Macaca fascicularis: one gene and its partners. The protein of the gene in region 5 interacts with the protein of the main gene of each other region in a pairwise test. Links are inferred from orthologs where the notes say so. Each region holds a gene or a part of one and is shown on either strand. Other genes may lie near its edges.

Region 1 (4,247 bases), about 3.1 Mb from region 5:
CACAGAGCAGGGGACTCTGGGTTGCAGGTGTGGCCTGGCTTGAGTAGGCTTTAGTGGGCTTCTCTCTGCCTGCACCACCCCCGGGCTGGGTGGTTGTCTCTGAGGCCAACCCTACTCCCTAATGGGCAGGCTGGACAGCTGCCCTCTCTGTTTGCCCCTCTACCACCCAAAAGGCGGGAGGCTCTGGAGACCAGGACCCTGCCTGCGCCGGCCTGTGCCCCAGGCGTGAGGGGGTGCCCCACAGATCTCTGCTGAGCTGAGGCTGAATGGCACCCCTTGGGGGTCCTGCCAGGTCAGAGCAGGGTGCTTTCCCATACAGAAACGCCCCCAGGTCGGGACTCATTCCTGTGGGAGGCGTCTTGTGGCCACCGCTGCTTCTCGCTGCACTAATCACAGTACCTCTGTGGGCAGCAGGCGCTGACCATCCGGGCCTGCCTCAGACCCTCTCCTCCCTTCCGGGGCGCTGCGCTGGGACCGATGGGGGGCGCCAGGCCTGTGGGCACCGCCCTGCAGGGGCCGCTCCAGCTCACTGGAGGGTGGGGAGGGTCACACTTGGGGTCTTCAGATCGCGCCGACCACGCGCAATCTCTGCGCTCTGCGCAGGGGCTCGCCCACCCTCTCCCCGTGCAGCGAGTCCCCAGCAGGCTCCCCGCAGGGCTGTCCAGGTGAGCCTGGCTCTGGCCGCGGGCCAGTGTGGCGGGCGGGCAAGCCCCGAGGCCACCTCGGCTCAGAGCCCACGGCCGGCTCTCGCCCAGCTCCAGACGTCTGCGAGGGTTCCATTCCGCTTGGGCCGGCGCCCCGCGCGCCGCGCCCTGGCCCCGCCCCGCCCTGGCCCCGCCCCTCCCTCACCCCGCCCCCTCTGCACCCCACCCCTCCCTGGCCCCGCCCTCCGCGCCCCACCTCTCATCTTCCCGCCCCACCCCCAGCCACGCCCCTCACGGTCAGCCCCCTCCCCTATCCGCCCCGCCTCTCATCGTCTCGCCTCGCTCCGCCCCTCAGCCGTCCCGCCCCTCAGGCGCCCTGCCTAATGTCCCCGCCCCCAGCCTCGCCCCGCTCCGCCCCAGCCTCGCCCCGCCCCGCCCCTCAGGCGCCCTGCCTGCTGTGCCCCGCCCCAGCCTCGCCACGCCCCTCGTTACCATGTAGTCCCGCCCCGTTCCTTCCGCGTCCCGCCTCGCCCTGCCCCTTCACAGCTTCGCCCCACCCCATTACAGTCTTGCCACGCCCCGTCCCCTGTCCGTTGAGCCCTGCTCCTTCGCCCAGGTGGGGCGCTGCGCTGTCAGAGGCTTTGGTGGCTCTGTGAGGCAGAACATGCGGGCGCAGGGACTGGCTGGCTCCCTGGCCAGTCATTGGCAGAGTCCGCAGGCTAGGGCTGTCAATCATCCTGGCCGGCGTGGCCCCGCCTCCGCCGGCGCAGCGTCTTGAGACGCAAGGCGCCGCGGGGGCTGCCGGGACGGGTCCAAGATGGACGGCCGCTTCGGTTCCGCTTTTACCCGCGGCCCAGAGCCCCATTCATTGCCCCGGTGCTGAGCGGCGCTGCGAGTCGGCCCGAGGCCTCCGGGGACTGCCCAGCCGGGCGGGAGACCGCCATGGCGACCCTGGAAAAGCTGATGAAGGCCTTCGAGTCTCTCAAGTCCTTCCAGCAGCAGCAGCAGCAGCAGCAGCAACAGCCACAGCCGCAGCCGCCGCCGCCGCCGCCGCCGCCTCCTCCTCAGCTTCCTCAGCCGCCGCAGGCACAGCCGATGCTGCCTCAGCCGCAGCCGCCCCCGCCGCCGCCCCCGCCACCACCCGGCCCGGCTGTGGCTGAGGAGCCGCTGCACCGACCGTGAGTTTGGGCCCGCTGCAGCTCCCTGTCCCGGCGGGTCCCAGCCTACGGCGGGGATGGCGGAATCCTGCACCCTGCGGGCCGGCGACACGAACCCCCCCGGCCCCGCAGCGACAGAGTGACCCAGCAACCCAGAGCCAATGAGGGACACCCGCCCCCTCCTGCGGCGAGACCTTCCCCCACTTCAGCCCCGGTCCCGCACTTGGGTCTTGTCCTCCCGCGAGGGGAGGCAGAACCTCGTTGGGACCTGTCCTGAATTCACGGAGGGGAGTCACGGCCTCAGCCCTCTCGCCCTTTCCAGGGTGCGAAGAGTTGGGGCGAAAACTTGTTTCTTTTTATTTGCGAGAAACTAGGGCGGGGGTTTAACTGTGTTCTGAAGAGAACTTGGAAGAGCCGAGATTTGCTCAGGGCCACTTCCCTCATCTAGTCAGAGAGGGAAGAGGGCTGGGGGCGCGGGACACCTCGAGAGGAGGCGGGGTTTGGAGCTAGAGAGATGTGGGGGCAGTGGATGACATAATGCTTTTAGGACGCCTCGGCGGGAGTGGCTGGGGTGGGGGGCGGGGAGTGAGGGCGCGTCCAATGGGAGATTTATTTTCCAAGTGGCACTTAAAACAGCCTGAGATTTGAGGCTCTTCCTACATTCTCAGGGCATTTCATTTAGTTCATGATCGCGGTGGTAGTAACACGATTTTAAGCACCACCTAAGAGACCTGCTCATCTAAGCGCAAGTTAGTGTGCAGGCATTTGAATGAGTTGTGGTTGCCAAATAAGTGGTGAACTTACGTGGTATTAATAAAATTATCTTAAATATTAGGAAGAGTTGATTGAAGTTTATTGCCTGTTTGTGTTGGGAATAAAACTAACACGTTGCTGAGGGGGAGGTTAATTGCCGAGGGATGAATGAGGTATACATTTTACCAGTATTGCAGTCAGGCTTGCCAGAATATGGGAGGTCTGCAGACTCCGTGGACATCTCATGTGCCAGTGAAAGGGTTTCTGTTCGCCTCATTGCTGACAGCTTGTTACTTTTTGGAAGCTAGAGGTCTCTGTTGCTTGTTCTTGGGGAGAATTTTTGAAACAGAAAAAGAGACCATTAAAACATCTAGCGGAACCCCAGGACGTGGGAGTGTGTGCTGAGTGTTTAGCAGGATTTAGGAAGTACTCCGCTGCAGTTCAGGCCTTTCTCTTACCTCTCAGTGTTCTATTTCCGATCTGGACGTGTATCAGATGGCATTTGATAAGAATATCTCTATTAAGACTGATTAATTTTTAGTAATATTTCTTGTTCTTTGTTTCTGTTATGATCCTTGCCTTGTCTTGAAAGTTTAATTAGAAGAGGAGGATTTGGAGAGCAGTGTTAGCTTATTTGTTAGAGTAAAATTTAGGAATAAATTCTTCTAAAGGATGGAAAAACTTTTTGGATATTTAGAGAAATTTTTAAACAATTTGGCTTATCTCTTCAGTAAGTAATTTCTCATCCTTCCAGAAATTTACTGTAGTGCCTTTCTAGGAGGTAGGTGTCATAGAAGTTCACACATTGCATGTATCTTGTGTAAACACTAAACTGGGCTCCTGATGGGAAGGAAGACCTTTCTGCTGGGCTGCTTCAGACACTTGATCATTCTGAAAATATGCCGTCTCTTTCCTGTGCTGATTTGATAGAACCTGCGTTTGCTTATCTTCAAAATATGGGTATCAAGAAATTTCCTTTGCTGCCTTTACAGAGGAGATAGATTTTGTTTCATTACTTTATTTTAAGGTAATATATGATTACCTTATTTTAAAAATTTAATCAGGCCTGGCAAGGTGGCTCATGCCTTTAATCCGAGCACTTTGGGAGGCTTAGGCGGATGAATCACCTGAGGTCAGGAGTTCGAGACCAGTCTGGCTAACATGGTGAAACCCCATCTCTACTAAAAGTACAAAAATTAGTTGGTCATGGTGGCACGTGCCTGTAATGCCAGCTACCTGGGAGGCTGAGGCAGGAAAATCGCTGGAACCCGGGAGGCAGAGGCTGCAGTGAGCTGAGACTGCGCCACTGCACTCCAGCCTGGGTGCCAGAGCGAGACTCTTGTCTCAAAAAAAAAAAAAAAAAAAGAAATTATTATTTTTGCATAAGTAATACATTAACATGACACAAATTCCGTAATTACAAAAGAGCAATACTTAAAATATCTTCCTTCCACCCCTTTCATCTGAGTACCTAACTTTGTCCCCAAGAACAAGCACTATTACAGTTCCTCCTGTATCCTGCCAGATATAATCTATGCATATTGTAAGATAGATTTAAAATGCTGTAAAAATAAAAGTAGTTTACGGTAATAATTTTTTTTCTTTATTTTTTTTGAGATGTAGTCTCACATTGTCACCCAGGCTGGAGTGCGGTGGTATGATCTTGGCTCACTGCAACCTCCACCTCCCAGGT
Region 2 (4,015 bases), on a different chromosome or scaffold from region 5:
GCCATTCTCCTGCCTCAGCCTCCCAAGTAGCTGGGACTACAGGAGCCCGCCACCATGCCCGGCTAATATTTTATATTTTTTAGTAGAGATGGGGTTTCACCATGTTAGCCAGGATGGTCTCAATCTCCTGACCTCGTGATCCGCCTGCCTCGGCCTCCCAAAATGCTGGGGTTACAGGTGTGAGCCATCGGGCCCAGCCAATTTTTGTATTTTTAATAGAGACGGGGTTTCATCATATTGGTCAGGCTGGTCTTGAACTCCTGACCTCGTGATTTGCCCGCCTCGGCCTCCCAAAGTGCTGGGATTACAGGCATGAGCCACTGTGCCCGGCTGAGAGTGTTTCTTAAATCTGAGATACTTGCTGACTCAGACCCATGTGAAGGACCTATCTTCCCAAGGACAGGATGGACTGGCCCACTGTACTCACCGATCATTTCAAGCAGATCCTTTGTGACCTCTTGGCTAGAATTGTTGAGTGCCATGTTTGAGTCAGCCTTCAAATCTCTCTCCATATCTTTCCTGCAGCCCCCAGGTTGGGGGGAAGAAAAGGTGGGGAATTAGATTCTCTTTCAAGAAAATATTGAAGGGAAACTCAGTTTTAGATAATCTCAAAGACAAAAACTTACTGGTGATCTTGTCATTTATGCTTTGATTAGAGGACAATTGGAAATTGCTACGTCAGTGGAGAAACTAACAGCTTTACCATAATAACTCACATGACTGTATTACAGACTCACATGACTGTATCAGACTGTATTAATTTTTTTTCTTTTTTAGAGACAGGGTTTAGCCATGTTGCCCAGGCTGGTCTCGAACTCCTGGGCACATACGATCCACTCACCTCGGTCTCCCAAAGTGCTGGGAATACAGGCATGAGCCACCTCACCCAGCCTGCATTTGTTTGTTTCATTTATTTATTTATTATTTTATTTTATTTTTTTGAGACGAAGTCTCACTCTTGTCCCCCAAGCTGGAGTGCAATGGCGCAATCACAGCTCACTGCAACCTCTGCCTCCCGGGTTCAAGCGATTCTTCTGCCTCAGTCTCTGGAGTAGCTGGGATTACAGGCGGCCACCACCACGCCCAGCTAATTTTTCTATTTTTAGTAGAAACGGGTTTCACCATGTTGGCCAGGCTGGTCTCAAACTCCTGACCTCAGGTGAGCCATCCGCCTCAGCCTCCCAAAGTGCTGGGATTCAGGCGTGAGCCACTATGCCCAGCATTTTTTTTTTTTTTTTAGATGGAGTCTTGCTGTTACCCAGGCTGGGGTGCCGTGGCAAGATCTCAGCTCACTGCAATCTCTGCCTCCTGGGTTCAAGCAATTCTCCTGCCTCGGCCTCCCGAGTAGCTGGGATTATAGATGCGCGCCACCACGTTCGGCTACTGTTTGTGTTTTTAGTAGAGACAGGGTTTCACCAGACCTCAAGCAAGCCACCCACCTCAGCCTCCCAGTGCTGAGATTACAGGCGTGCCACCACACCCAATAAGGCCTGCACTGCTTATGAGTACCAATTTATTTGTGGAGTTGAAAGGAAAAAAATTTTTTGTGGAGCTGAATGAATTAAATGGCCTCTTTATTCCCTTCCTATGAAGCAGCCAAGATGGCAGAACTTTGAAGCTTCATCTCTTATGTTCATCCCTTCTCCAAGTCAAGCTGTCTGGGACCAGGCAATTTCAAGTTACTTGAGAGAAGAAAAAGTCTAGAGGAGACCTGGTGATGGTCCAAAAAACTCTGGGGTAAGAGTGGGGAGCAGAGGCAAAGATAAGCCAGGAAGTAGGGCCCAGACTTCAATTCAGCCTCTCCCTAATGTGGGCAAAGGAGGGTATCAAAGGCCCCAGTGTCCAGATTCAAACACAGAAGTTAAGATGGAATTAAGACTTTTGTTTCTGCAACTTAAAAAATAAGGTTATTTTAAACACCAGGTTATTTTACATCCACTACCCCTTTGGGTACTGCAAAGTGGTTTCCATGACTGGTTTGACATCAACGATTGACAACTAGCCCCTCAACTGGAACATATACACAAAATATAACTGTTTCCTAGGCCAGATTCTGAAGAATGTCTATGAACTCCCCAAATGCAGTCACAGAGTTGCCAAGAGGAGGTAAGAGCACTGTCATGAACTAAATCTAGGATCTTCAACAATTTTTTCAAAAACAACAATCCCCTTAATTGTAGCTGTTAAGCTATCAAAATTAGAATCACCTTAAATTTTCTTTTCTCCAGTTTTCCCCCTCTCCTGCAGTTCTCCAAGACTCTCTTTCAGATGCCAAAATGGAGGAATGCATCAATACATTTTCCTTGCTGGTCAGAGGTTTTCTCTCGGGGCACAGAGCATGTGGTTTTGCATTTACCGGGGCATGGTTTGTTGCAAAGGCAGGGTTCTCATTCTCAGGAGCACATGGGACAGCAGCAAAAGGAACAGCAGACGAGCAGGCTGCCAGAGGATGTCTTCTGCAGAGGAGTCTGTGCACGGGCAGCGAGGAGGAGAGCGGCGCAGCGCTCAGTTCCAGCCTCCGCTGGCCTGTGCACTCCTGGGAATAACTAACTCCTTCAAAGGCCCGGTCAATGGCTGCAGTCAGTTCCTTTCTGCATCTTCTTAGTTTTTCAGACATTTCTCCTAAAAGCGACCATGTCTTTATGTAATGCATTGGAAATGCACAGGGCAACACAATAATGTTACAAATAAGGCTGCAAACTACCCCTGAACGGCCACGATTTCCCGGAGCTTGGCCCTGGCTACAGCAGGACCCACAACCCTCGGGCTTTCCTCCTGGAGTAGGCGGTTCTCGGCTATCGCGGAGGAACCCGCGATCTGCCAGAAGCCCCAAGGACGCCCCGCCCCACTTCCCACAGCTTCCTGGCCCGCCCAGCTACTGCCTCTCGCCCCACCGCGGCTCCCAGGCCGCCCGGCCGTACCCCGCACCCCGCCCTCCGACAGGTCGCAGCCACGTCCTTGTCTTCACCCGCAGCGCAGTGACGCCTACCCAGCCAACGGTCATCGCATGCGCGCGCCCCGCGCAGGCCCCAGACCCCCACGGATTAGGTTAAAGGTCAAACAAAAAAGCCCAGACCCGTATGTCCGGTTCCTTAAGGCCTTGTGGCCCCACACGCAGCAGCTGGCCCCTCGGTGGGAGTGGGGACGGGTCTTTCGACCCGGGTCCCGGTAAGAGTCTTGGCAGGGATGAGGAAAGAACCTGTTCAAGAAAGCATCTGGGTAACACCAAAATGTATTACTACCCTAAATCGTCATGAACTGGAGCCCTTTCCAGGCTGACAACTCCCACAAAGATTTCTGTTCTCAAGCCAACATGGAAACAACTGGATGGGACACAGCACCAGGCAGTTTTATGTACTGACTTCCTTTAAGTGTTACCTAATAAAAAGTGTGTTATCTAATAAAAGTTCCACGCAGCATTTGACCGTCTTAATTCATCTAGGGTAGCAGGGGATGTAACATAACTGCTGGGTTCCACAGGAGGTTGAGAAGCCAGGATCCCCAACACTAAATATCTTCATTTCCTTAGCGGGGAGAAAGCTGGAAATTACAAGATGACTCAACGGAGAAATGGGCTTCAGTGGGTAACTTTCAAAAAATTATAAACCCGTATCAGTGCACATAGCGAGGGAAAGGGGAGTTTACTTGAGGCTTGGGTTACTGTGAGCAGACTACTTGGGGTGACTAGTATCAGCATCAGAACCAGAAATCCAGGCGCTCAGGGCAGCCCTGCAGGTGGGGTGGGTCTCCAGGCTGCTCCATACTCAGCGCCTGTGTTTCTCTCCATTCTTTGGGATCCATCAGACATACTCCATTGTGTACCCCCATCCCACCCCCTTTTCAGCTTCACAGATTTCACAGAAATTTCTCACCACCTGTTTAAAAATAAAAATAATTCAGCCTCTTGACATAGCTTCTTCTAGGTAAACGGTCTTTTTTTTTTTTTTTTCCCCCTTCTGCTCATAAAAGAAGGGTATTTCCTTGTCTGGTTTTTGGACAGAACACTAGCAGTCTG
Region 3 (4,027 bases), about 74 Mb from region 5:
CTGCCCATTTAGGATTCCCCTTGGGTATCTCCTCTGTGCCCACCCAGTCTGAGCTAGGTGCCCTCTGATGGCAGGCTGTGTAGGCTCTCATTGCACTTGGCCACATGGAATGGAAATTTATGGCTTGTCTGCTTCCCACAGTGGACTGGGAGTTCCTTGAGGGTGGTGACTAAGGTTTTAAATCTCTATGTCCCACCCTAACCAAGCACCAGTTACCTTGTAAGTGCTTCATATCTGTTGTTAAGTAAATGAATAATGGAGAACCTAGACAAGGACTTGACAGAGAAGCAAAAGGAACAGTGACTGCCCAAATAGTACTTTTCACCCCTGGAAATGTTGTTACTACCCCGAGCATACAGTGAGCAGTCCACATCCATATAGATCAGCAGACCAAGTGGAATAGAATGAATGGAATGAGCCTGGCTTCTTCAGGCCTGATGCTGAGGACATGTGCCCTACCTGTATGGAGGAGATAGCTCTATCCCCCTCCAAAGACAGTGACAACACAGGTACATACACAAATGTATAGCATGTGTCACAGTCCTTAAAGACATTACATAGGGCTGAGCAAAGTAGGCACCTGTGCGCGTGTGGAGGACATATGGTAGCTCCAGAATTCCAGGAGCCAGCTCAGGGCGGCCCAGAACAAAGCGTCAGGGTGCGGAGGGCGTCTGCATGGGGCAGGGGACAGTGTCATGATGGCAGTTGATGACATTTGGGGGATTGAGTGAATAAGCATATAATATATTAAGGATAATGGGAGCCAGCTTCTGATGAATGTTAGAGAAGGGAGTTACAAATGTAGAAAGGGAGTGTTGGATTGGAATTGGAAGTATGAATTGGAAGTATGAATTGGCAGTATGAATTTATGGCTTTCAATACATATAGATTAATATAGAAATAAATAGATACGTAAATAGAGGAGGAAACTGGGATTCAAAATTAGATCTGTCTAGCTCTTTTCACTGATCTATACTACCGCCCTACACATAGGGCCTCTGCTGTGAAACCTCTGCCCCCTTCCCTGTCCCCCCAGAACCCCAACCCTAACTCACACAGACTTAAAAGATTCCACCCTCGTGGTTCCAGAGCATGCATCACATCTCATGTCATTAGCTGCACACAACTAACTCATGACGTTTTGATTACACTGAGGGTAGGCCTCCTCTTATCTGTATTCCCTGCATCTCCCTTGGAGCCAGGCACATGGTCATCACACTAGTTAGTATTAATATTTATTGTGCAGTTGTTATGCATCAGGAAAGACTTCCCATACATAATCATTCACAGCTGAAGACAACCTTATGAGGGATGTATTACCATCATTCTCATTTTACATATTGGCAAGGTGAGGTTAGCGGTGTTAACTGAGGTACTCCAAGATGCAGAGCTAGTGGGAAGTAGAACCAAGAGTCAAGGCCAGACAGTCTAATTCCTCAGGCTGTGCTCCTTGCCCCTCAGCTCTGCCACCATGGACTTGGTGTAAGTAAATGTTCACTCAACAAATTCCTCCCGGGGGATTTGTGTATCTGAATGCTCTCCCTCAATCCAAGTCCACTCTTTATGCTGAGCTTACTTGAAGCTCACCTCTTTAGGGAAGCCCCCCACCCCGCCATCCTACTCTGCACTGCCTCAGCATTCCTTGGGCACAGGACTTGCACCACGCCCTGACATATGAGCCAGTCAGTGTTGGAGCAGGGAACATAGTTTATCGACATTTGTTGAACTGAATTCAATGCCCAGGAATGGAAGTAAACAGGAATACATGACAAGGTGGTGTATTGTACAGGATACTGTGGCTATCTATTTCTGGATTTTCCTGAGAGTTCCAATTTCTAAAATTCCATCCTCTCATCAGACCATTTGTCAGAATACATGGCCAAGAATGTAGTCTGGAATTTTCTGTAAAGAGTAGGGTCACCATTCTACTGAAAAGAGATAGGAATGAAGACAGGATGTGCTGCTGGTCACCCACAACTCTACACATCCATGAGCAGGTCACAGCTTCTCTCAACCTCTTTATCCATGGGTAAAACTACAATGCAACACCTACTCCTACTGTGGAATGAAACAAAGTCTGTGTGTGAATGTGTTTTAAATACCGATAAAGAATATTGTCGCATAAACCCAGTTACTGTTAGTGGGATTACTTATATTTTTACTGATCTGTCTGGCAAGTCGTTTTCATTTGTCAAAGTAAATAAGCTTTGAATGAAGGCCACTGCAGAAAAAAATAGGGTATAAAGAGAGGAAATGCCAAGGCGTTTCTAGTGTTTTCAAAAAGACACACCTAGATATTTCCATCTTTTAGACTCTCCTCAGTTTGGGGGGTGTGTGTGTCTGTGTGTGTGTGTGTGTGTGAGAGAGAGAGAGAGAGAGAGAGAGAGAGAGAGAGAGAGAGAGGTGAGAACTGGGGGCTGAGTGGGCAGAGGTGACATTTTTAAAAAATGGTATGAGATTCTACCTTGTAGAGGAACTAGGCCATCTTACCTTTGCTGTATTGCGGATCAGTTCCCAGCTGTGTGAAGTCTCAGGTGATAGTCCGTTTGAGAGATGAGTTTTGCTGGCTTAGCAGTAGCTCAGGAAATTTTTCTTTCTCTTTCCAGTATTCTGTGTCCCAGCTATGCATCAAAACTGCTCCACCATTGTACATGCAGGGGTTAACCAGGGCATCCCCTGTCCCTTCTGCAAGGCTTTGGGTAGAGCAGATTCATAAAACTGAGAGCAGCTATGGAGAGCTTAGCGGGAGAGTGGTCCCCTGCAGAGCAGCATGCATTAGCATCAGTGACAAATCTATTCTGGTTTGGATGGGGCTGAGACGCCCCTGAACTTCCTTCTGCTTTTGCCAAAAGCCAAGATCCTTTTGTTCACCTTTAGGGTTGCCAAGTCAGGCCTACCTCGCCCCTAGATGTTGTTTCCTGTGGGCAATGGGAAAATGATCTTGGAGCCAGAGAAGGGAAATCAACAAGGAAATAAACACAGGGTCACCACACCTTCAGGCCATCATTAGGTCTGGAACATTATCATGCTAATAGGCAGGGGCTGCTGACTGGACAGGCCCTAGAATCCTGGGCATCTTTTATTTTTGAATATGAAAAGGGACATGCACCAAAATCTATATCAGGCAAATAAGTAGTTCTGACTTGTTCCAATACCTTGCCAAAACTTTCAAAGATTTTCTCTCGGCAGTATTGCTCATAACTGAACACTGGCTAATGTTTGTGGACAAAGAAAAAGACTGAGCAAGTTTGTGGCTGATACTACTTAAGACTCTTAACTCTAAAGATACAGAATGATTGTTTAAATAAGGATTTCTTCTGCTCATTCTTCAGCATTACCATCGCCATCATTGTCAGCCGCTGCAACATCTTTGCTAACATTTATTAAGTGCTTACTGCCTACCAGGTTCTGTAGTAATTACCTGACCTGCATTATTTAATTTAATTCTCAACAGAATCTATAATTATCACTCCCATTATATAGATAAAGAAACTGAGGATTAGAGACATTAAGTCGTTCCTGCAAAGTGACCCAGCTAGTTAAAAATGTAAACGTTGCGCTTCTGGAAGTGTGCTTTTCTGAGTTTTGCTTTTCCCACTGGTTTGCTTAAGCACTTCTGTGGGATGACAGCTCCAGTGATGGCCAAAGATTTTGCTTAAATAAGCGATAAGCTCTGGGAATTCGATTCTAAGTAGAAATGTGAATAATTAGTGAATTAAGTAGTCTCTTTCCAGAGATGTGAATCGGGAGCTCGGTGTTATCTTATGTATGTGCAACATGCAAGAAAGACACATGGAGTGCAGGTACTTGTGGCTCCCTAATTACAGGTGGTGCCGCTGGCTGCGGTGCCTTCAGCTCTCCACTGTGACTCTGATTTACAAACAAGGAAGTACACTGCAAATTCCTTGGCCTCTGTGTGCATTTTGGTCATGGCCTGATTGCCACTTTGTCCCTTTGACTTTCGGAGCCAGCTGCTACAAGTTTCTTTTAATCAATAATCCACGGAGTGAATGAGGCAAAATTGCCA
Region 4 (3,991 bases), on a different chromosome or scaffold from region 5:
TGGTGGCAGGCACCAGCAGTCCCAGTTACTTGGGAAGCTGAGGCAGGAGAATCGTCTTAACTTGGGAGGCGGAGGTTGCAGTGAGCTGATCAAGCCACTGCAGTCCAGCCTGGGTGACAGAATGAGACTCTGTCTCAAAAACAAAAAAAAGAAAAAAAAACCCTCAGGCCTGGTGCAGTGGTTCACGCCTGTAATCCCAGCACTTTGGGAGGCCAAGGTGGGAGGACTGCTTGAGATCAGGAGGTAGAAACTGCAGTGAGTCGTGATCACACCATTGCACTCTACATTCTAGCCTGGGTGACGGAGTGAGACCTTGTCTCTAAAAGAAGAAAAACAAAAACAACTCATAACACCTAAAAACCCAGCATGCAAGACCTTATCTCCTATTACAAGTGAAGAAGGGAGCACAAAGAGATCAAGCGGCCTGCCCAAGGCCACAGGGTAAGTCAGAGAAACAACTGGAAAGATGGCAGAACAATCTGTCAGAGACTGACCAGAAGGCCCTTCAATTTCTTTTTCTTTCTTTTTTTTTTTGAGATGGAGTTTCCCTCTGTCACCCAGGCTAGAGTGCAATGGCGCAATCTCAGCTCACTGCAACCTCCACCTCCCAGGTTCAAGTGATTCTCCTGCCTCAGCCTCTTGGGTAGCTGGGATTACAGGTGGCCGCCACCAGGCCCACCTAATTTTTGTATTTTTAATAGAGACGGGGGTTTCACCACGTTGGCCAGGCAGGTCTCGAACTCCTGACTTCAGGTAATCCACCCGCCTCGGCCCCTGAAAGTGCTGGGATTACAGGTGTGAGCCACTGTGCCCGACCTGAAGGCCCCTGAATTTTTAACTTCTGCTACACTGGTTTCTCCCAGGATGCCACATTCAGAGGGCTTTGTCCAGTTTTTGTGTAGCTGGGTCTCTAGCCAGGCCCCAAAGGTCTAGAAACAAAAAAGGCCAGGCTAAAAATCAGAAAGCCAGAGGGACTTAAATATCTCTAAAGCAAACTCAAGACAGCACTGAAAGGACACTCCTTCCTATGCCCTGTATGCTTGGACACCATGGTAATGACACTAACTTTTTTTTTTTTTGAGATGGAGTTTCGCTCTTTTTGCCCAGGCTGGAGTGCAATGGCATGATCTTGGCTCACTGCAACCTCCGCCTCCTAGGTTCAAGTGATTTTCCTGCCTCAGCCTCCTGAGTAGCTGGGATTACAGGTGAGCACCACCACACCTGGATGTAGAGATGGTGTTTCACCATGTTGGCCAGGCTGGTCTCAAACTCCTGACCTCAGGTGATCTGCCTGCCTCAGCCTCTCAAAGGTGTGCCTCGGCCTCTCACTACAGGTGTGAGCCACTGTGCCCGGCCGACACTGATAACTTTTTGCCAGCCCTTCTTGCAGTTTTCACGGCAAGGTATTAAAATAAACTCATCTGCAGGGCCAGGAACTGATATACACCAAAAGCAAGGTGACAGTCATATTTTTCCAACTCTGGTCCATGTTGAAGATGACGCTGAGCTTTCTGGACATTAAGAAACAGAACATGTGTTTCCCAGCACTAACTGCAGTCAGCTTGCAGACTGTTCACTCATCTGTCTTCTACTAGACTGTACTCCCCTTGAGGGCAGGGACTAGGCCTGACCAGTCTGTATACTGAGTCTACATATGAGCAGCATAGAACATGGTCCTGGGACATAGCAGGCATTCAACAAATACTTGAACAAGTAGGACCCTAGTCTTCCGTGGACCCCCAATACTCACTGTGCGTGGAAATCCACAACCACTGGCGTCTCACTGTTGACCACTCGGTCTTGAAAGTCAGGTCCATCCTGGATATTAAAGGTCGTCAAGGAGATCCTGGTGGTGTATATTGTCCGGGCTGGGTTGAGTGTTACAGTCAGGCCACCAGGACTGCATTGTGGGGTCTGCAGGGCTCTGGAAGTGAGGGGTGGCCACCGACCCTGAGAAGGATTCCTGGAGATGATGGAGGCCAGGAACCTCCTTAGGAGAAGTCGCTGAGCCATCTGTGAGGGAAGAGGCAGAAGAATTGGGGCACACAAAAGGAAGCTGACACACTAGAAAAATAAAGAGATTTGGGGATTAGTCGGGGCTCAAGAAGAGGCAGAGTGGGAAGCAAAATGCAAGGAAATAATATGTAAGATTTGTAGCGTAGAAGTGAGGAAGCTGAGAAACAAAGGAAAGGAACAGCTAGGCAAACCAGAAGGACAGGAAAACTGGCTTCACAACCAAAAAGAAATCGGGATTTAGATTATAACAGAAGAACGGGAGGGAGAAACCAACATTTAATAATTTATGTAAGGACCAAGTACCTTACACATATTCTTGATCTTCCTACAGCAACTTTGAGGAAGTTGCTATTGTACTGCCCACATTGCAAATAAGGAAAGGCATCCGAGGCTCAAGTAAGTTAATGACATGCCCAAAGTAACCCTACTACTGACAGCCAACACTGGAACCCAGGGTCGTCTGAAAAGATGAAACGCAACAATTGAAGGAGGATCTAAGAGTATGGTAGGAACCAAAAACGAAGAGACATGTACTGGAGGGAACTAATAAAGAAGGGACATGAATGGAGGGAACTGGGAAAAATCGGACGCCACCAGGGACCCCGGCTCTCCGGCGAGCTAGGTCCCCCCCACCCGTCCGGCCGCCAGCCTGCGCAGGAACGCGCTCGCGGCATGCCTATCACACCACCTCAAGCCAGCCCCACTGAGCTCCTACCTCCCTGCAACGCGAGCGGAGGGATGCACAGCTTAGCCCTCCCTGCCTGTCAAGGGCACTTCTGTCGTCACTTCCTCAGGGAGGCGGACATTAACGTCACTTCCGGGGACAGGCAGGCGGAACACCATCCCTCTCGAATATTTTTTTTTGAGACGGAGTCTCGCTCTGTCGCCAGGCTAGGGTGCAGTGGCGCGATCTCGGCTCACTGCAACCTCCGCCTCCCGAGTTCAAGCGATTCTCCTGCCTCGGCCTCCCGAGTAGCCGGGACTAGAGGCGCACGCCACCACGCACAGCTAATTTTTGTATTTTTAGTAGAGGCGGGGTTTCACCATATTGGCCAGGATGGTCTCCATCTCTTGACTTCGTGATCCGCCCGCCTCGGCCTCCCAAAGTGTTGGGATTACCGGCGTGAGCCACAGCCCCCGACCTGTCCCTCTCTAATTTGAGGAGCGTCTGGGATTTTCCGCCAATGGGAATGGCGGGAGGAGGCACAACTGAAAGGGCGGGGCCTCAGCTAGGGACCGGAAGCAATGGGCAGGCCGTCGGGGGAGGGATTGGAAGAGGCGGGCAGGCCCTGGTCGAGACGAAGGCTGGCGCGGGGCGGAACCGGAAGGGGTGGGCGGGCCCTAGAGGAGGGACCGGAAGAGGAGGTGATGGCGCCGGGGTAGCAATGAAGGGTGCTTAAGGGAGAAAAGGCAGTTGAGAGGTCCCCGTGGTTTTTGATTTTGTCAACTACTGTTGCTTGATTTTAATTATATTTATTTATTGGTTAATGACAGAGTCTCGCTCTGTCTCCCAGGCTGGAGTTGCAGTGGCGCGATCTCGGCTCACTGCAACATCCAACTCCCGGGTTCAAACGATTCTCCTGCCTCAGCCTCCCAGGTAGCTGGGATTACAGGCGCGCGCCATCACGCCGGGCTAATTTTTGTATTTTTAATAGAGATAGAGTTTCGCCATGTTGGCCAGGCTGGTCTGGAACTCCTGAGCTCAAGTGATCCGCCCGCTTCAGCTTCCCAAAGTGCTGGGATTACAGGCGTGAGTCACTTTGCTTGGCCTCCTGTTTATAACTGGCGCCGTCCACTTCCTACAGATGTTGACAGGTTCTGTTTCTTCATTTAATAAGTAAAGCTAAGCTCTTCAAAGGCATGGTGCCCTTTATATGTAAAAGAACTCACCCGTGGTTTAGGGGTCATCCTTAAATGGCCCTCGTCTGTGTCCACCTAAAGGAAAACAAAAACTGAGGCGAGCTTAATTTAAGCA
Region 5 (4,169 bases):
TCCCCAGTGCTGGAACTCAAAAGGCTTTTGCTCACTTTGATCCTTATGCCTTATATGTCTTCATTCATTTCTACTTTTCAGGCCCAGGTAAGTCACCTGCTCTGAATTCACACACTTCCCTACTAAGAGTTGACTCCCTCCTCAGGGCTCCCACATGATATCCACACACTCTATATCGCAATTCCTTGTTTCCATTTCTGTCCCACACCTTCGTCCCATCCATGTCTCACCTTTATGTTCCTAGTGCCTTGGATAAGATATGAAGCACGTTACATTCCCACTGGTTGACTAAACACACTTCTGCTGCTGAAAAGCAGGGGCTTGGCCCAGAGGATAGCCGAAAAGTTTTTCTCTTCAGAACTGAGTGTTCCGTCAGCTCATCTCCACAGCACCTTCCAGAAATAATTCTCCCTCAGTTAAAGGCTTACCAAGAGCCTTTAACTACAAGCAGTTCAACCCCATTTGATGACACTCAGTGAAGAACATCCATTTCAAAAAGATTGATTTATGATTCTTTTATTAACACACACAGGAGGGGCTTTGGTCATGTGAACAAAAAATTTATTTTTTAAAAAAGGCTTTTTAGGTCTTTGTTTTTCAAGGCAAATTAATACTTACTATACGTTTGACTTTGACCTCCAATCTGACAGGTCTACTACCCTGATGAACTGGAAGAGACTTTCCAGGCCCTGATAATGTCTTTTCCTTTCTCTGGCCTCTTAAAGCTCTTTGTAGACTGTCTCTTCGATGCCATTCTCTGATGCCCCTGTAATGTGTGAGGGTATTACGACAGTTCCTAATCAAACTGCCTTGTCATAAAAGGTCAGCTATGTGGTCTAAATCAACTCACCTGACAGGTTACACAATATATATCAGACAATGTGCCACAAAACATAGCTCTCCTCTTTCATCTCACAGAGGAACTAAAGTTCCAAAATATATACAAAACCACCTTCCATCTCCAACTGTCTTCTCGTTCTTCCCAGCTTTATGCAAAGCAGTCTCATTAATACATTCTTCACCAGGCTCAACCAGGCAGCGTAGTATCTTCCACTGCACCTCTAAAGTTGGAAGATTCTGATCCCAAGTCTTGACGTGTTCCAAAAAACGATCAGGTCACAAAGGTAACAGCAAAATACAAGGCCATGCCCAACATTTCAAAAACACAGCGAAGTAACAAGAATAAACGTGACCACGAAAACAACTTAATTAAGCCCCATTTCTCTTGTGAAAGTATTTCTTCGACAAAAGTTGTATTTCCAGAACCAAACACATTTGATGATCTAAATCCATATCGAGGTCATCAATCACTGACCATAAGGGAGACTGTTACATGGGGGTAAAAAACATACAAAAACAAAACAGAGAAAATGACAAGCTGTTTCAGTTTCCTCAAGGTGTCAGTTCATCCTTACCAGTTGACTACAGTCCTCAGCTGTGAACCTAAAGCACAATTGGGAGAAATTTACCATGAAGACATTGACTCTCAAAGTTCCATATCTTGATGTTAAAAATAAATGTGAACCACCCAGAAGAATGCCACTTCTTTGAGACACGGTCCTCTGACATACCTGTCTCATAGAACAGTCTGGAAATTTCAGGTAATGGCCTCTGGCTTTACTCTTTTATTTCTTTCCCTGCGTTCTCAGCCTGCGTTCCATTGTGCTCCACAGCCTAGGTCTTCTGTGGCTTTCCCCAAACTCCCTTAGTGCCGAGACAGGTCTACTTCCTGGCGACTGCCCTATTAGAACTGACTTACGTTTCACAAAAACAAACCCGAAGTTACTTTTATTTTTCTCTAATTACCAGTGTGGGAGGGCGAGGCCACAAAAAAACGGTATACTAACACCTAACAAAACCAGCACGCATTCTTTCCTCTTGACCCCAACTTTGTTCCCAATGCTCAATTTTTGATGCGATAAAATGGGGGATGCAGGCCTAGAACATAACTTTTTACAGGGCGCGGTTTAACCATGCTTAGGGGGACTACTGAGTTCCATCCAAGCTCCCGCGAGTTTCCGACCTTACCGCCGATCTCCTCCTTCAAGAAGACTCGCTTCTCTCTATTCGCCAGACGAGCTCGACCAGCATCTCTGCCATCTTCGCAATCTCCTTGGCCTTCTCCTCAGCCTTCTCGCACAACTCCGACACTCTCTCGTCGGCTTCGCCACTCGGGTGCTGCACGTGATTGAGGGCGCTCTCCTCCGAGGCCTCTACCTGCGTTTTGATCTGGATGAGCATATTGTCCATCTCCCACAGCTTGCTCCTGGTTCGCAGGTACGCCCGCCCGTGCTCGCGTATAAGAGACGCGATGTCCTCGCGCATCTCGTTGATGACCGGGAGCAGGAACTGCTCGAAGTCCTCCTCCGGCTCCAGCACCTCCACTTCCTCAGGCGCTTCCACCTCGTCTATGTCCAGGGGCCGCATCTCCTCCTGCCGCTTCTTCAGTACCGGAGGGGCGTTCTTCTTACCGGAACCCCCCAGGGACTGGAGATCAGCAGTGATTGCTGGAGGCTGAGCCCACACGCTTTGTCAATAGTACTCCCGAATTATCTTTACTTTTTTTCTTCCTTTTAATTGTAAGCCTTTAGCTTTAGAACTCCGTGGGAAGAATCGCCGTGGATACACACAGCAAAGCGACCTGCGAAATGGAGTCGCAGCCGTCAACTCGCCCTCGGCCTTTTTGCGGCCCTTTCACGACAGAGCCGGGCTCCTTTACGGTCACGCCTTCGGCGAGACCCAGTAGCGGGCGCGCGCACGTAAAGGGGTCTCGGGCGCGCGCATGGCTATCCCCGTCAGCTTCCCGGCGCCCCGCCTCGCCCTCTTCTCTAATTTAGATTGGTGGCGGCAGGTTTGTTCGCGTCTTCCCCTAAAGCTTCCCTTCAGAGGGGTTTTACTTTTATTATTATTTTTTTAAAGTAAAAATGACCCTCCCTTCCCCATATTTGAATAAGACTGGCTGGCGTTCACAGCGCTTACTATCTAAGCATGCAGAAGCTTGGATTAATTTATATGAATTCACTTAGCCCTCACAACGAACCTATAAGAGAAGTAAAAACCGGGCTAAAAGTCGTGATTTGAGCTCAAAGCAATGTGGGTCCACAGTCCCTGCTCAGTGTTCTAGAATGGAACTCGTCCCTCTGTCCTCCCCACCCCTGGCTCATACTTTTGTTCTGGGGGGAATTTCGCTCGCTGCCTTGGGTGGTTCTGGCCCGTGATTTTTGGTCTCTCTTCAGAGTCTGTAAGGTCCTCAAGGTAAAGGGCAACTTCTGTTTCAGTTCTGTCCTCCGCCCTTTCCGTCAGCCTGGCGTCAAGCAGGGCCTTAGAGAATGCTTTAGAGAGAGGAATTGCCTAGTACCTAAGTGCCTCTACCAGACTGGAGGCTGTTTGGGGACAGGTTCTGGTCTTGGTCACCTTTATGTCCCTCCACACACAAGACCTGAAAATGAGCAGGGACCTAGTAAATGTGGCTTTGATCGTCAATACGTTTTGATCACCAACCTAATGCCATTGTGGAATGGAAGAAGTCTATTGCTAGGCTTAGTCACCCAGTGCCACACTAGTAGTAATATGAGTGTGTGTAGAGGGGGGATCCTTCTTACACAAGTGCCACAGATCAGAACTTCAGTTTTCCAGTCTGATAAAGACCAATGGCCCCAGCCTGAATATCTGTCAGTGGGAAGAGGGATTTGTAAGATGACGTGTGCGAAACAGTTTTGCAAACACCAACATTCCAGCAGATGTTCATCAAAAGAACATTAAGAGGGAAAGAGCAAGGCACCGTGAAAAAAGATATTTGACTCATGCAGAATATATTGAGAACTCCTATAGATCAAGAAGGAAAAGACAAAATTTTAAAACAGGCAAAAGACATAGGCTGGCACTTCACAAAAGAGAATATCCGAATGGCCAATAAGTATATGAAGAGGTTTTCAACTTCATGATTCAACAGGGAAATGCAGATTAGAAAGCACAACGAGGAAGCACTGTACATCCACTAGAATTACTAAAATTGAAAATACTGACAATACCAAGTATTGGGGAAGATGTGGAACAACTGGAACTCTTATACATTCTTGATGGATGTCTTAGTCTAGTCTGAACACCATAACAAAATACTATAGACTGGGTGGCTTAAACACAGACATTTATCTTCTCACAGTTCTAGA

The links.
Region 1: the proteins of MRFAP1L1 (region 5) and HTT interact in binary tests that used the Homo sapiens proteins (3 or more experiments, as listed by UniProt). The link is inferred for Macaca fascicularis from reciprocal best matches to the Homo sapiens genes MRFAP1L1 and HTT.
Region 2: the proteins of MRFAP1L1 (region 5) and C2H3orf62 interact in binary tests that used the Homo sapiens proteins (3 or more experiments, as listed by UniProt). The two-hybrid records come from large-scale screens. The link is inferred for Macaca fascicularis from reciprocal best matches to the Homo sapiens genes MRFAP1L1 and C3orf62.
Region 3: the proteins of MRFAP1L1 (region 5) and LNX1 interact in binary tests that used the Homo sapiens proteins (3 or more experiments, as listed by UniProt). The link is inferred for Macaca fascicularis from reciprocal best matches to the Homo sapiens genes MRFAP1L1 and LNX1.
Region 4: the proteins of MRFAP1L1 (region 5) and TXN2 interact in binary tests that used the Homo sapiens proteins (3 or more experiments, as listed by UniProt). The two-hybrid records come from large-scale screens. The link is inferred for Macaca fascicularis from reciprocal best matches to the Homo sapiens genes MRFAP1L1 and TXN2.

What each region holds. Positions count from the first base shown.
Region 1 is NC_088379.1:3,292,314-3,296,560, forward strand, and holds the start of HTT (huntingtin), read left to right. Parts: upstream 1-1,447; 5' UTR 1,448-1,586; coding exon 1,587-1,822; intron 1,823-4,247.
Region 2 is NC_088376.1:112,265,874-112,269,888, forward strand, and holds the start of C2H3orf62 (uncharacterized protein C3orf62 homolog), read right to left. Parts: upstream 2,801-4,015; 5' UTR 2,654-2,800; coding exon 2,208-2,653; intron 520-2,207; coding exon 428-519; intron 1-427. UniProt on the Homo sapiens protein: Essential for normal spermatogenesis and male fertility.
Region 3 is NC_088379.1:80,251,690-80,255,716, reverse strand, and holds the start of LNX1 (E3 ubiquitin-protein ligase LNX), read right to left. Parts: upstream 2,801-4,027; 5' UTR 2,491-2,800; intron 1-2,490.
Region 4 is NC_088384.1:15,187,221-15,191,211, reverse strand, and holds the start of TXN2 (thioredoxin, mitochondrial), read right to left. Parts: upstream 2,801-3,991; 5' UTR 2,732-2,800; intron 2,477-2,731; 5' UTR 2,329-2,476; coding exon 2,320-2,328; intron 2,014-2,319; coding exon 1,751-2,013; intron 1-1,750.
Region 5 is NC_088379.1:6,383,725-6,387,893, reverse strand, and holds MRFAP1L1 (MORF4 family-associated protein 1-like 1), read right to left. Parts: upstream 2,671-4,169; 5' UTR 2,428-2,670; coding exon 2,044-2,427; 3' UTR 2,029-2,043; intron 1,444-2,028; 3' UTR 501-1,443; downstream 1-500.